2 linked regions of the Notamacropus eugenii genome follow. The protein of the gene in region 1 interacts with the protein of each later gene in a pairwise test. Links are inferred from orthologs where the notes say so. Each region holds a gene or a part of one and is shown in the gene's direction. Other genes may lie near its edges.

Region 1 (6,996 bases):
ATATTCAGCTCAGCCTATGCCCTCTGTCCATTTGTGTGTGTATATATATGTATATATGTGTGTGCATATATGTATACATATATACACACAAACACACATACACATATATGTATATATGCATATATACACACGCACACATACACCCGTGTGTGTGTATATATATATACTTGCACATGTGTGTATACATACCCATACCCATACATACATATATTCCCATACACATCTACATATATATCTATATACATACATACATATACATACATATATATTCCCTCCAATGACTCTAAAACTGAAAAAGGTCTCATGAGTTACAAATAACATCTTTCCATGTAGGAAAGTAAAAACTTCAGCTTTATTGAGTTCCTTAAGGCTTCTCTTTCCTTTTTACCTTTTCATGTTTCTCTTGATTCTTGTATTTGAAAATCAAATTTTCTATTCTTGTATTTGAAAGTCAAATTTTCTATTCAGCTTTTGTCTTTTCAACAAGAATGCTTGGAAGTCCTCTATTTCGTTGAAATTTCATTTTTTCCCCTGAAGTATTACACTCAGTTTTGCTGGTAGGTGATTCTTGGCTTTACTCCTATCTCCTTTGACCTCTGGAATATCATATTCCAAGCCCTTCGATCCCTTAGTTTAGAAGCTGCTAAATCCTGTGTTATCCTGATTGTATTCCCACAATACTTGAATTGTTTCTTTCTGGTTCCTTGCAATATTTTCTCCTTGACTTGGGAACTCTGGAATTTGGCTACAATATTACTAGGAGTTTTCCTTTGGGATCTCTTTCAAGAGGTGATCAGTGAATTCTTTCCATTTCTATTTTATCCTCTGGTTCTAGACTATCAGGGCAGTTTTCCTTGATAATTTCTTGGAAGATGATGTCAAGGCTCTTTTTTTTATCATAGTTTTCAGGTAGACCAATAATTTTTAAATTATCTCTCCTGTATCTATTTTCCAGGTCAGTTGTTTTTCCAATGAGGTATTTCACATTGTCTTTTATCTTTTCATTCTTTTGGTTTTGTTTTATAGTTTCTTGGTTTCTCATAAAGTCATTAGCTTCCATCTGCTCCATTCTAATTTGTAAAGAACTATTTTCTTCAGTGAGCTTTTGAACCTCCTTTTCCATTTAGCCAGTTCTGCTTTTTAAAGCATTCTTCTCCTCATTGGCTTTTTGGACCTCTTTTTCCATTTGGATTAATCTATTTTTTAAAGGTGTTATTTTCTTCAGCATTTTTTTGGGTCTCCTTTAGATATCACCTAGTTCCACAACCTTCATTTTACAAAGGAAAAAACTGAAGCTGAGAAAGAGAAAAGAGGTTTCCAAAGCCACCTAGCAAGTCAGTGTGATTTTCTAGCATCACTTTCATTTCTCTTCCCAATTTTTCCTCCACCTCACTTACTTGATTTTCAAAATCCTTTTTGAGCTCTTCCATGGCCTGAGACCATTGTATTTTTTGGAGGTTTTGGATGTAGAAGCCTAGAATTTTATATCTTCCTTTGATGGAATGCTTTGCTCTTCCTCATCTGAAAGGATGGAATAAAATACCTTTTCCCCAAGAAAGTAACCTTCTATAGTCTTATTTTTTCCTCCTTTTCTTGGACATTTTCCCAGTCAGTTACTTGACTTTTGAGTCCTTTGTCAAGTGGAGGGTATACTACCCTAGGCTTCAGAAGTTTTGTGCAGCTGTTCTCTGAGATATCTCTAGGAACCTGTAAGTTCTCAGTTCCTCTAAGGCCCCACCAGAGTTTTTAAAAATGAAAACCAAAGCCCATAGGAAATGGGTTCATACTCATTCATTGGTTTCCTTCAATTCTAGCAGACAATATATAGATTCCTGATACCAGTCTGATTCCCTTCCTTGATCTATAGACTGAAACCCAATTTTGACTCCAACCTAAATAGTAGCCCCAATCCTATATTAAGCTTTGATCTCAGCCTTGAACCCTGACCTCATCAACAAACTGAACTCTAACTTCAGAGGAAGACTTTATACCAAAGATAGACTGAGCTGTGACCTCCAACTGAATCCTGACCCTAGTCCTAGACTTTGCTCTGAAAACCAGACCCACTTTGAATTGAGAATCCAGACTAAATCCAGACACAAGACTAAAATTTTCAATATGGTTCCCTGAGTCCTGACCCCAGCCTTAGATCAAATCATCTTTTTTAAAATCAAGTCTAGACTGACATCTGACTCTATGTGCCTTTCTCTTATCCATGCCCTTCACTTCAAGTTTTCTCTCTCTCCTCAATTTTTTTAGAGCATTCGTCCTAGATCTCTCCTTTTCCTATATCACATTGTAGGTTTCTAACCTGTGAACTCACTGGATTCCCTGCTACCACTCCCCTCACACCATCCCTTCCCAACCAGAATGAAAACTCCTTAGAAGGCATAAACTATTGTTTTTCATTTTTATGTCCCCAGGACCAAAGATAGTGTCCTCTTGCCCTTAGTAGGCATTTAACAAATATTTAGGTAATCCAAATTTAATGACTATCCCTGGTTCTATGTTCTCCACTGTCTTCCAAAACTCATGGTGGCTCCCTAGTTGGGGACTTGACTTTTGTTGGAAGAGAAGTTGGGTGAACAGGGCAGGGTGGCACTTTCTGGAGTCCTGAGTTCAAGTGCCAGCCACATAGACTTGCTAAGTGGCTTTGGAAACCTCTTTTCTCTTTCTCAGCTTCAGTTTTTTCCTTTGTAAAATGAAGGTTATGGAAGGAGGTGATAGCTAACACACACACACACACACATCACGCACAGCTGAGAGGATCAAGGGGCAGGAAGCCAAACTGGTTATTACTAAATCCTTCATTTAATATCTGTTCATTGACAGAACCTCAGAAGAAACTTTGACTCAGATATGTTATGTTGTCACATGTCTATGTTCATGGCCCAAGTTAATAGATAGAATCTGAGCCTCAGGTCTTTTAAAGTCGAGTGCTTTCCACTATAGTGCACCATACTACCTCCTTTAAATACTGCAAAGATTTTCATTCCATATTTATAGATGTGAATAGCTCTGGGACAGGGACTGCCAAGGCAGCATGGTGCCATGGGGAGAGAGCTAGATCTGGAGTCAGGAGACATTGGGCCAAGTCAGGTCAAATCCACAAGCACTTAATAAGCATCTATTATATTCAGGGATCTGTTCTAAGCACTGGGGTTATAAAGAAGGGCAAAAAATAAAACACCAAATCCCACCCCCACCCAAACTAACTAGTCTTTCAAGGGGATAAAATGGGGGGAGGATGGGAGACAACATGCAAACAACTGTAAACAAACAAGATATATTCATAGAGGATAAATTGGAAATAAATCCTAGTTCTGACACCTAAGATATAGAAGGGACCATAAGCTTCAATGTGACCAGCCTTCTCATTTTACTTACCAGCTGTGTGATCCTGAGCAAGTCATTTGACCTCCTTTTGCTTCAGTTTCTTCTTCTTCAAAATAAGGATAATGTTGCTTGGGTTGTTGTAAGGAAAAATTGTTTGTAAACTCCTGAGCACCATAGAAATGCTAGCTATTATTATGCGTGCTATATTTTAGGAATGATATTGACACTGAGAATCTGGAGCCTGTTTCAGTCAAATTACCAAGGATGGTGGACCATGTCACAGGGTGATCAGATAGGAATGTTTAACCTAGAAAAGAGAGGCTAAGGGAGGAGGTGATTTGTGTCTTCACATATTCAGAGAACTGTCCCATAAAAGAATGATGTGACTTGTTTTGCATAACCACAAGAGGCAGAGATAAAAGAAATGAAATCCCAGAGAACCAGAACTCCCCAACAATAAGTGTTCTTTCAAGATGGAATGGATTTGCTCTAGAAGGACTAAACTTCCTGTTATTGGAGGTGTTCAAGGGGAACCTGGGTGACCACTTGTTACCAACACTGCCGAGAGAATTCAGAGCATCATGTAGGGGTTGCCTGGTATCCCTTCCAGTTCTGAGATTCTAGGATTCTGTAATTCTTCTCATTCTATAATTGTGCAGCAGGGACAATTCTCTCCCTTCCCAGTCTATGGAGAGGGACTGGTACCTCACCCTCCATTCTAGCAATTTTGAGAAACAGCCCAAGGTAATTTGAATAATACTTCTGTCTAGTGACCCTGGGGGAAGTAGGGAGGGTGGAGAGATAATGAGGGAGAAATGAAGGTTTCACTCCCAATCTCTGAACTCAGTAGAAAATGTTGATTTAAGTTGGAGACAACTGTTGCTGTCCTTCATATTGGAAGGGGAACAAAATAACATTATGGGGGGGAGGAGAAGGGGGGTCGTCAATGTACATTGTGTCTAACTGTGACTGATCAGACCAATATGAGCTCAGAAGGTTCTATCACAAGTTGGGCACAAGTAGTCCATATGAACATTTGGGATAAGAGATGTATCTAAATCTGCACATCTCATGTTTCTTTTGAGCTACTGAAATCCTGCTTTTGCTCATAGAACACAGCATCTTTTTTTTTAATGTGGTACCAAATTCAGGGAGAGAGAAGAGGTGAATGGTAATGAGTCACTACAGTGAGTTAAAGACAGATTTGCTAGTTTAGGTGAAAGAAGAAAAGGTTCCTATAATCTCTGAAAGACTTCTCAGAATTGAAACCATGGACTATGATGACAAAGTATAAAAGAAAATCTATTAAAGGGGACTGGCATATATTCAGATTCCCTTTGATGATACTCTTTCTTTTTTTAATTGTATTTTATTTTTTCCAATTACATGTAAAGAAAATTTTAAACATTCACTTTTGTAAGATTTTGAGTTTCAAACCTTTTTCTTTCTTCCTCCCTTCTTCCTTTCTCTCCTCCCCAAGATGGCATGCAATCTGAAATAGGTTATACATGTACAATCATATTAAACATATTTTCATGTTAGTCATGTGAAAGAAAGAACAAAAGGGAAAACCAAGAGAAAGACAAAGCAACAAGAACAAAAAAGGTGAAAATAGTCTGATTTGGTCTGCCTTCAGACTCCACAGCCCTTTCTCTAAATTTGGTTAGTATTTCCCATGGTAATACTCTTTCAATCAATCAATTAGCTTTATTAAGCACCTACTATGTGCCAGACACTGTGATAAGAGCTGCCCCTAGAGAGCTTACAATCTAATGGAAGAGGTTGGGGATAGTTTTGATGATGTATAATGAAATTGCTTTAAAGAGACTTTGGAGTAAATGTAGACATTCTGTAATTGGTTCTGCTTTGCTAACCATGTTGTTAGGAGAAGACTTTTCAATTAGCTACATGACCAGAATTGGGGATATCTCAAAGGACATCTGAACAGAGTCTCAGACATTTTCCTGGGCCCTTCTCACCTAGTTCTCCTGGTTTGACTTCTTTGCTAATCGCATCTGGTGAGACACAATGCTGTAAGGAGACAGACCTTGGTCCTTCTCCACTGAGATCAGTATGTGACCACATGAATGGGCCTTGTGTCTTCCTTTTCCATTTTAGTTGAAAGGACTGGAGACTCTGACCTGGTGAGGTTCAAAAGGTCAAAAGAGCAGTAGAGAAGATACCTCTGACCTCTCAGGGTACTCTTAGAATCCTGAGAAAGGAAGTATAACAACCTGACTCTGGGATAGTAAACCAGAGCACACTTGCTACAAAGGCTTCAGAAAAATGAAGGTGAGTACTTCTAACCAAGATGGATGCTTGAATGAAGATGGGCAGCTCAGCTTCCATATACCTACTCTAGCAAAATACTAAAAATTAACATGAACTAATGATGAAATAATGATCAAGAAATTCAATGAGAAACTACTTCATTCATCTCAGAATGGCACAAGTCTGTCAGAAGTCTACCCAACAGGAAAGGTGGCATACCAGAAAGTCAGCACCAATGCAGGCAAACATCTCCTAATGTGACCAGAAATATCTGTAGCCCAAAAGGCTATGTATCAAGAGGCAGGGGGAGCAGGGGGCTTCCATGAAAAAGTTCTGAGGTTGGATCCATAGCTTGGATCTTAGGAGCCAGAAGTATCAGTGAATAGTATGGGCATGGCAGATCTCAGGTAACATCCTTGGCCCAAAGGCTTTGAAATCCCTAGCACTCTGTCCTAAGATACCATAAAGAACCCTAAAAATTCAGTATTCTGAATCTCAAAAATCCAAGGAGGTCTAAAACCTACCAATGCTCTTAATGTAGACATACCCTGGGAGGTTAAGATCGGCACAGAAACCCAGGTCAATACCAAACAGGGCTGACCGCTCTATCCAAAAGGACATCAAAAGACAAAGACTCATCTTGGCACAGCAACTAATGATGCAAATATGAGTAAACAGAAGACATCAGGCACTATAAAGAATTATTATAAGGGGCTCAGCACCTTCCAGCTCCAGTGGTGGTTAGTTTTGCTGTATTTTGTGCAACTGTCTCCCTCCATTCTATATGATGTAGAAGCATTCTCCAGCAAGGCTATCCTAAAGGTGCTGAAGAATGGAATACCTGATCCTATGGCTTTTGGTTTCTGGAATCATCTTTAGTAGGGATCTAGGCAATGTAATTGCCTTAAAGCCAGATGCTGCCTGCTCACACAGCTTAGAGAAAGAGGGCTTTGTTGCCTCCCTGGCTCCAGTGCCTGTGGTCCCTGCCTTTTGTTCAATATGATCTCAATTGCTATATTCTCAAAGGAAAATTACTTAGAACCCTGTTGTCCCTGGGGCAGGAACCCAAAAGCCTGTCTCCTTGGGGTATGTATATGCCTATGCATCTAGCCTCTTGCTCATCTAGGACTGTGGAGATATGATCTCTGGATCATCCATATCCACGCAATGACATTCTTGTTCCCATGATGATTGTGATTGGTACAATGGCTGGGCTTTCCTCACTAGTTATGGATATAGTCTGCTGGTGTGGTTTATAAAAGGAAATCTGAGAAGGCAAGAAAAACTGAACCCATTAAAATATGTATAGTCATGCAAAACAAATTCCTTTATTAGTCATATCTCCCTTACCCCCTGCCCCCACTAAAAAAAGGAGGAAGGAAAAAAGGA
Region 2 (7,469 bases), on another chromosome or scaffold:
AAGGCTATTCAAGAAATGCAAGACTATTCTGTCCCCACTAGAAAACATAGGAGAGAATGGAATTATGGAGCTCAGTATGCCACCCATGGTGTCCTATCCAGCAAATCTGAACTTAACCATACAAGAAAAAGATGAACAGTCTATAACCAAAAGGCATTTGAAACATTTTTGTAAAGAAAGCAGAACTGAAAAAATTATTTGTTTCTCAAATACTTCAAACAATAAAAATTCAGTAGGAAAGAAGGCAAGACAAACTAAACTCATTACTAATCTGTATAGTTGTGTAAAATAAATTCCACATTAACTATGTCCAAAAAAGAAAAGGAAGAAAGAAAGAAAGAGAGAGAGAGAGAGAGAGAGAGAGAGAGAGAGAGAGAGAGAGAGAGAGAGAGAGAGAGAGAGAGAGAGAAACCAAAACAACATGCTTTGATCTGCACTTTGAATCAATCACTTCACTATCTTGAGGTGGATAATATGGTAAAATGTTCCATAATGAATCCTTTGGAATTGTGGTTTTTATGTTGATGAGAGCTCCTAAGTTTTTCAGAGTTGATAGCTGTTATAATATTTTTGTTACTATAGAAAACATTCTCCTGATTCTCCTCACTTTGCTCTACATCAGTTCATGCAAGTATTCCTTGTTTTTTTTAAATCACCTTCTTCCTCATTTTTTACAACTCAGTAGTATTCTATCACATTTTTATATCCTCAACTTGATAGATATTCTCCAATTGATGGGCATACCCTTAGTTTCCAATCCTTTGTTACCACAAAAAGAGCTGCTATCAGTGTTTTTGTAAATATGGGTCTTTTCCTTGATTTCTTTGGGGTATAGAATTTCTTCAGTTCTCCTTTCTTTACCAAAATGTTTCAAATGCCTTTTGATTATTGACCTTCCATCTTTTTCTTGTTAAGCTCAGATTGGCTGGATAGGACACCATGGGTGGCATACTGAGATCCAGGGCCCTTTGGAACACATAATCTATGTGTTCTCAGTGGTATCACTGAGTCAAAGGGTATATACAGTTTGTAAATTTTGGGGCCCAGTTCCAAATTGTTCTTGAGAATGGCTGGACCACTTCACACATCCACTAATATTGCATTAAGGTACTTGTTTTCCCACGTCCCCTCCAGCATTTGTCATTTTGCTCTTTTGTCATCTTAGTTAATCTGATGGATGTGAGGTGGTACCTTAGAGCTGCTTTAATTTGCATTTCTCAGTTAGTGTTTTATGGCATTTTTTCATAGGCTATTTATAGCTTTGATTTCTTCATCTGAAAACTACTTATTCATATTCTCTATTTATCAGTTGAAGAATGGCTATTATTTTTATAAATTTGATTCAGTTTCCTATATATCTTAGAAATGAAAGTTTTATCAGAGAAACTTAGTGCAAATGTTTTCCTGCTTATTTTGTCATTTTAACTGCATTGGTTTTGTTTGTGCAAGTTTTTTTTAATTGTATGTAATCACAATCACACATTTTACTGCCTGTGAACCTCTCTATCTCATATGTGATCATGAACTTTTCCCAACAGATATGAGATAATTTCTTCCATGCTCTTCTAATTGTTGTCATGATGCCACCCTTTAAGTCTAAATCATGTACCTATTTAGAGTTTATCTTAGTATATGGTATGAGATATTGATCTACACCTAGTTTCTGCCAGATTGTTTCCCAGGTTTCAGGCTTTGTCAAATAGTGTATTCTTGCCCCGTTAGGTGGAATCTTTGAGTTTATCAACACTAGGTAACTGTATTCATTTGATCCTGTATACTGTATACCTAGTCTAGCCCACTAATTAACCTCTCTATTTTTTATCCATTACCAAGTTGTTTTGACAATTATGACTTTGTAGTATAGTTTGAGATCAGATACTACTAGGTCTCCCTCCTTCCCATTTTTTTCATTGATTCCCTTGATATTCCTGACCTTTTGTTCTTCCAGATGAATTTTATTATTTTTTCTAGCTCTATAAAATCACCCTTGGATAGTTTGATGGATATGGCACTAAGTAAATTAATTTAGGCAGTATTGTCATTTTTATTATATTGTCTCAGCCTACCCATAAACAATATTTCTCCAATTACTAATATTATGCCTTTGTGTAAAGAGTGTTTTGTGATTGTGTTCATAATATCATGTGGGTATCTTGGCAGGTAGACTTCCAGATAACATATATCGTCTATAGTTATTTTAAATGGAATTTCTCTTTCTATCTCTTCCTGATGGATTTTGGTGGTAATATATAGAAATGCAGATTATTTATGTAGGTTTATTTTATATCCTACAACTTTGCTTAAGTTGTTAATTCAATTAGTTTTCTAATTAAGTCCCTTCCTTTCTTCCAGGTGTAACTCTTTTATACCTGCTTCATGATATCTCCTCCATATGTGATGGTAATCTCTAGCCCATCTAATTTCTCATAGCCTTACTAGTCCTCTCTTTTGCATCAATCACCTCCTCCCTTACATTTTGACCTATATGTCCTTGCCCTTCTCCCCATTAAATTACAAGACACCTGAAAGCAAGACCTGTATCATTTCATCTGTATTTTTATAACCCATAGCACCTCTGAGACACAAGGAATTGTATACTAAAGAATAAAGTTGTGCTGGAGGAATAGAATCATTTGGCATTTCACAATTTATGGACTGAAGGAAAGTTAAATATTAGAGGGACAACATTGGGTTTTTTTGTTCTCTAATTGGAGGGGAAACAGCACAAAAAGTGGGAGTGAGTGAGTGAGGAGGCTCTGGATGAGATATTTCAAACTGAGATGCCACACTGCAGTGGGAACAATCTCTTTTGCAACTCTGCTTAAGGTTGAGGATGTGAGTCAAGAGGCTGTTGGAGAGAAAGATAGAAAAGGAGAGAAACTAGGAATGGCATATTGGTGGTTAGCTGGAAGGAGTTGTATTCCAAGTCTTATTGAATATATCAACATCAACAGAATGGTAGTACTAAAGAGACAGATCTTTGCTTTCATGGGAAGCTTAGATTCAGTAGCACAGATTTGCAATTTCCCATAAGCAATCAAGGTTTTTGCTCTCTTTCTCCCATTCAGCTCTGGACACAATTCATTGCCCATCTTTACCGTACCAGACTCACATGCTGTTGGATAAGCTCTTTAGTGAGTTCAACCAAATGCAGGTTGAAATTTGGGCACTAGACTTTATTTATACACTTGATCTTTCCTATGTGGATGAATACGAAAAACTACTTTGAGCGATTATAGATTTCTTTCAATTCTTCTGCAATATTTAAAAGTTTGGTTCAACTGGCACAATGCCATCCACAAACCTAGAGGATCTCAACATCCAAGGCGAATTCCTCTTCAATGTGAACTCTGTGCTGAATCTATCTCATCACAATTGTTAACACCTTCCATGATCACAGATCTTTATTTTTCACCTGTTGCTTATTACCACAGGGTCATTGAATAGGGTTATTTCTATTTCATCTTTGTCATTTACATTTGTTACAAAGCATGGCTGTTTGGGGAGCAAGGGAAAGATATATTTGGGAAGGTGATGTAAAAACAAAAAATATAATCAATAAAAAAAAGTTTTTAAGAGATGAAAACAGCAGTTCTTTTTTGTTGTAGTCATTGCGCATAAGCAGTGACCTGTTCATACATTCATACTTTCCACTATTCCAAAAAACGGAAATCATACTGCAAATGGAAAGGACAATGAACTAGGAGTCCAGAAACCCAAGTTCAAGTATTAGCACTCTCAGTACACATACATAAATAAATGTCTGTGGACGTTCTATGGTGTCCTGATTCAAGACTCAAGAGGACCTGGGTTTGTTGCTAATACCGCTTTATGAACATAGACAAGTCACTTAACATTTCCGAATTTCCGTTTCCCAATCTGTAAAATGGGGGAAATACTACCTGTAGCACTATTCAATTTCACATGAATAATATATGTGTTGGAAACCTTGTGCAAACCTTGACAGACTGTACTAATGACCCCTCTTATTATGGAATGAATGCAGATTAATACCATTCCACGGGACAGGAAGAAAAGCTATTATTATGAATAACATGAAGCTAGATGCTAGCTAGACAATGAGCCAAGTACTGTGTAGGCAAGCCAAGTTCCTGGTCCTCTGACCTTGGGTAAACAATTTTTATGTAAACCTGTTGTTTACTGAGAAATTCATATGATAAGGAAGTCTTAAAGAATGGAATCTAAAATAGACTGCAGAAACATCATTTTACATTTTATTTTTCAAAACACACAAGTTCATTCAGCCTTTCAAAATGGGACCAGTCCTTTGAGGTTTAACTCTTGTAGTTGAGGTTTCTGTCTTTTTAAAAGAGGGTGGCGTTCAGTTACTGGAGGCCTACACATAGGCTAAAGCCAACTGAAATCCCGCCCTCTTTCTGTGACGTCCACGCTTCGCGGCTTCTGATTGCAGCCTTTAGGCGTCAAGCCCAGGGTGTGTATCTTACTGGGACACAGTGAAGATCTCACCTCTTGTTTGGTGAGCGGTCGGGTATTTTGCTCTACACTCCGCACCCCTCGGGGGCCCCCGACCGATCTGAGCTGGAGATATCGTTCTGTGGCGCCCTCCCGCGCCGGATCTCCTTCTCCCTGGGGCGGGACGATTTCCAGAGGCTCCGGTCACTATGGTCAGTGCAATGGGTGGGAGTGGAGGGGATATGGGGTTCCCAAGCCCGGGGCGCATGTGCACGCTCGGGAAAGGGGGCGAGACCTAATAGAGGGGGTGGAGAGGGGACTGCAGAACTCCTGGTCCTCCTTCGCCCCTACCCCCAAGCCCTTCTGGTTTGAGATCCCTTTTGGCTCCTAGGGCCTTCCTTCCCATCCCCCATATCCCACCCACCCATAACCCTATCCCTGGGACCCAGGAGGGGCAGTCCAGGGGACCCAGACCGTGCCCGGTCCGGGCTCCGGCGCTAGGGGCTGGATGGGGGTGCCGGGTAGCGAGTGTGAGGGGGAAGGTGTCTGGGGCGGTGTGGGGGGGGTGGTGGTGGAGAGGCCAGGAAACCCCACATCCCGTAGCACGCCAGCTCCCCCAAGTGCCCCGCCCCCTCTTCCCCTCCTCCCCCCAGGAAATTTGGCCGACCCCGTGAGAGCCTTTTTGGGGCAAAAACCCTCCATCTGGAGTCATGGCCACCACCCCCGTATGACCTTGGGCAAGTCATTTGGCCCCCCAGCCTCAGTTTCCTCGGCTGTAAAAAACCAGAGGGGCTTGAACTAGTAGAACTCTCCGGATCCAAATCCAGTCCTATGAATGAATCCATTCATTAAGCACATAGCAAGCGCCTACTGTGTGCCAGGCATAAGCTCTAAATCCTACGAAATACCCTCAAGCCAGACCTCCCACCCAGCTGGGTCTGACGTGATGCCTTTTCTATTTCGTGTTCAGGCACCTTCCCCACCCGTTCTTTGGGGGCAAGAACAAGACGCCAGCCCCTTCCTCCTTCCCATCGAGAGACAAGTTCCAGGGTTTGGTGCGTTGGAGCCAGAGAGGGGGTGGAGGGGCTGGGGAAGGGTTTACCCCTGTCCTGGAGCCGGCCTTTCTTTATCTGTGCTGAGCCCCGCTCTTCTCCCCACCCCTCCTCCGAGGGGGCTGCGGCTGCGGCTGCGAAGGGACTGGATTTCCCTGGTGGGGCTCACATTTCCAGGGTCAATAATAAGCAGAGGTGTGAGTATAAGAGGTACCTCTGAGACGCCAGAGCAAGCTTGGGGGGGAGGGGTGAGCAGGGAAAATGAAGAGACTAAAGGTGGGGGGGATGGTTCACTCTCTTTACCCTACCCCTCTTAGTTTCTAAAATGGAACTAAGAAAAGAGCACCCACTTTGAATCACAAGAACCAAGTTCATGACTGGTGGTTACTATATTACTGTAGGACTTTGAGCAAGTCACTTTACCCATAGGAAAATCTCTAAAAGAGGGAGGCCTGGGTTTTTCTTCCAACTCTAAATCCTAACCTCTGAGTGGGTCAGCCCATGAGATCACCTTCAGCCTAGCCCTGAGGAATGTAGGGGGGTCAGGGGGCACAGTTCAAGCTGCAGTACATTCCAAGCCCTGCCCCAGCGTGGATCTGACTAATCGCGTGCCCGAAGAGGCAGTCACCTAAGCTGTTAGCTGTGGGACAGAGAGGGCTGGTGGCACTGCCTGGGGGTGAACTACTCAGTCAGGTCCTAACCAGGGCTTGCAGTATTTGTCTGAGGAGTTTTCAAGGAGACTTGGTGGGTGCTTATCTTCAACGGGATTAAACACATTCCTTTGCTCACAGAGATACTGAGCATTTAGGGTGCTAGGGGCACTCAAAAGGGTGCCCTTTGAGTACCCATTCACCTGAATGGAAAACCGGAAAAAATAAGCCAGGTGGTTAAGATGTGTGTGAAGGCACCAGGTTATTTTAACCGCTAGCACCATCTAGTGTTTCTCTGAACTGTGGACTCAATGATAGGGACTAGAATAGGAATTTCATTGGTGTAGGGAACCTCAGTTTGATTCTACTAGAGTCTAAATGACTTGCCCAGGGTCACACAGCTACTATAAATCAAAATGGGGATTTCCATCCCAGGTCTTCCTAGTTTCCCTTTCCAGGCAACCTCTCCTAATGTTAGCATCTGAAAAAGGCCATCTGATCTAGTCTCCAGCAGCCCCCTTTTTAGCATCCCACGTCATTGCCTCTGACTGAGACTCTTTGCGGGTAATTAGAAAGGACAAAGGGAAGGAAGAGTAGAGGTTAGCAAGAAATACAGGAAAAGGACTTGCTTAAGAAGCAGCATAAACAAACATTAGAGGGGATGGGAAGTAACAGACAGATACCTGAAGAAAGCAAGCTCAGATCAGAAGGAGGCAAGGCTCCAGATAATCATAGAATTTTAGAACTGAGAAGAAAGCTAGAGGCCATCTGTTCCAACCTTTTCATTTGGTGGATAAGGAAATGAGACCTTGAGTGACTTGCCTAAGGTCATATAGCTCTTGAGAAGCAGAGTTTGAACTGGGTCCTTTGGATCTCCAAAGCCAGTGTTCTTAAGCCATACTACTATACAAATGGCTAGTATCCCTGAGTAAATGGCACACCATCAAGTGGGGATCTCCTGTATTTACTCGTCTTCAGTTGAACAATTAATTTTCTAGTATGTGTGGAGCTCTGTAGGAGGTGATTGATGAAATAAGTTTAGTTAAGAGAAAGTCTGTGTCTTTATGGAATTTAACTGTAGAGTGGAAAGCAGTCAGTCTCAGTCACAAATAAAGAAAACACAAAATAAGTAGATCAGAGAAGTGCTAAGACCTATTTGAAGTCCAAGGTATTCTCACTGATATGGGATGAAGGGGACTTTCTGGAAAAGGTGGTATGTGTTGTTGTTCATCTTTCATTCTCAAAGAGGACCAGTGACATCAGGAGGGTGATAGCATTCTTAATTTGCAAGTGAGTTGGATTTAAGTGAGGCAGGGGAGTGCAAAGTCTCACT

Evidence for each region.
Region 2: the proteins of FAM168A (region 1) and OTUB2 interact in binary tests that used the Homo sapiens proteins (3 or more experiments, as listed by UniProt). The two-hybrid records come from large-scale screens. The link is inferred for Notamacropus eugenii from reciprocal best matches to the Homo sapiens genes FAM168A and OTUB2.

Annotation. Positions count from the first base shown.
Region 1 is NC_092876.1:131,754,927-131,761,922, forward strand, and holds the start of FAM168A (protein FAM168A), read left to right. Parts: upstream 1-3,982; 5' UTR 3,983-4,023; coding exon 4,024-4,080; intron 4,081-6,996.
Region 2 is NC_092878.1:35,625,285-35,632,753, reverse strand, and holds the start of OTUB2 (ubiquitin thioesterase OTUB2), read left to right. Parts: upstream 1-4,455; 5' UTR 4,456-4,643; coding exon 4,644-4,646; intron 4,647-7,469. UniProt on the Homo sapiens protein: Hydrolase that can remove conjugated ubiquitin from proteins in vitro and may therefore play an important regulatory role at the level of protein turnover by preventing degradation.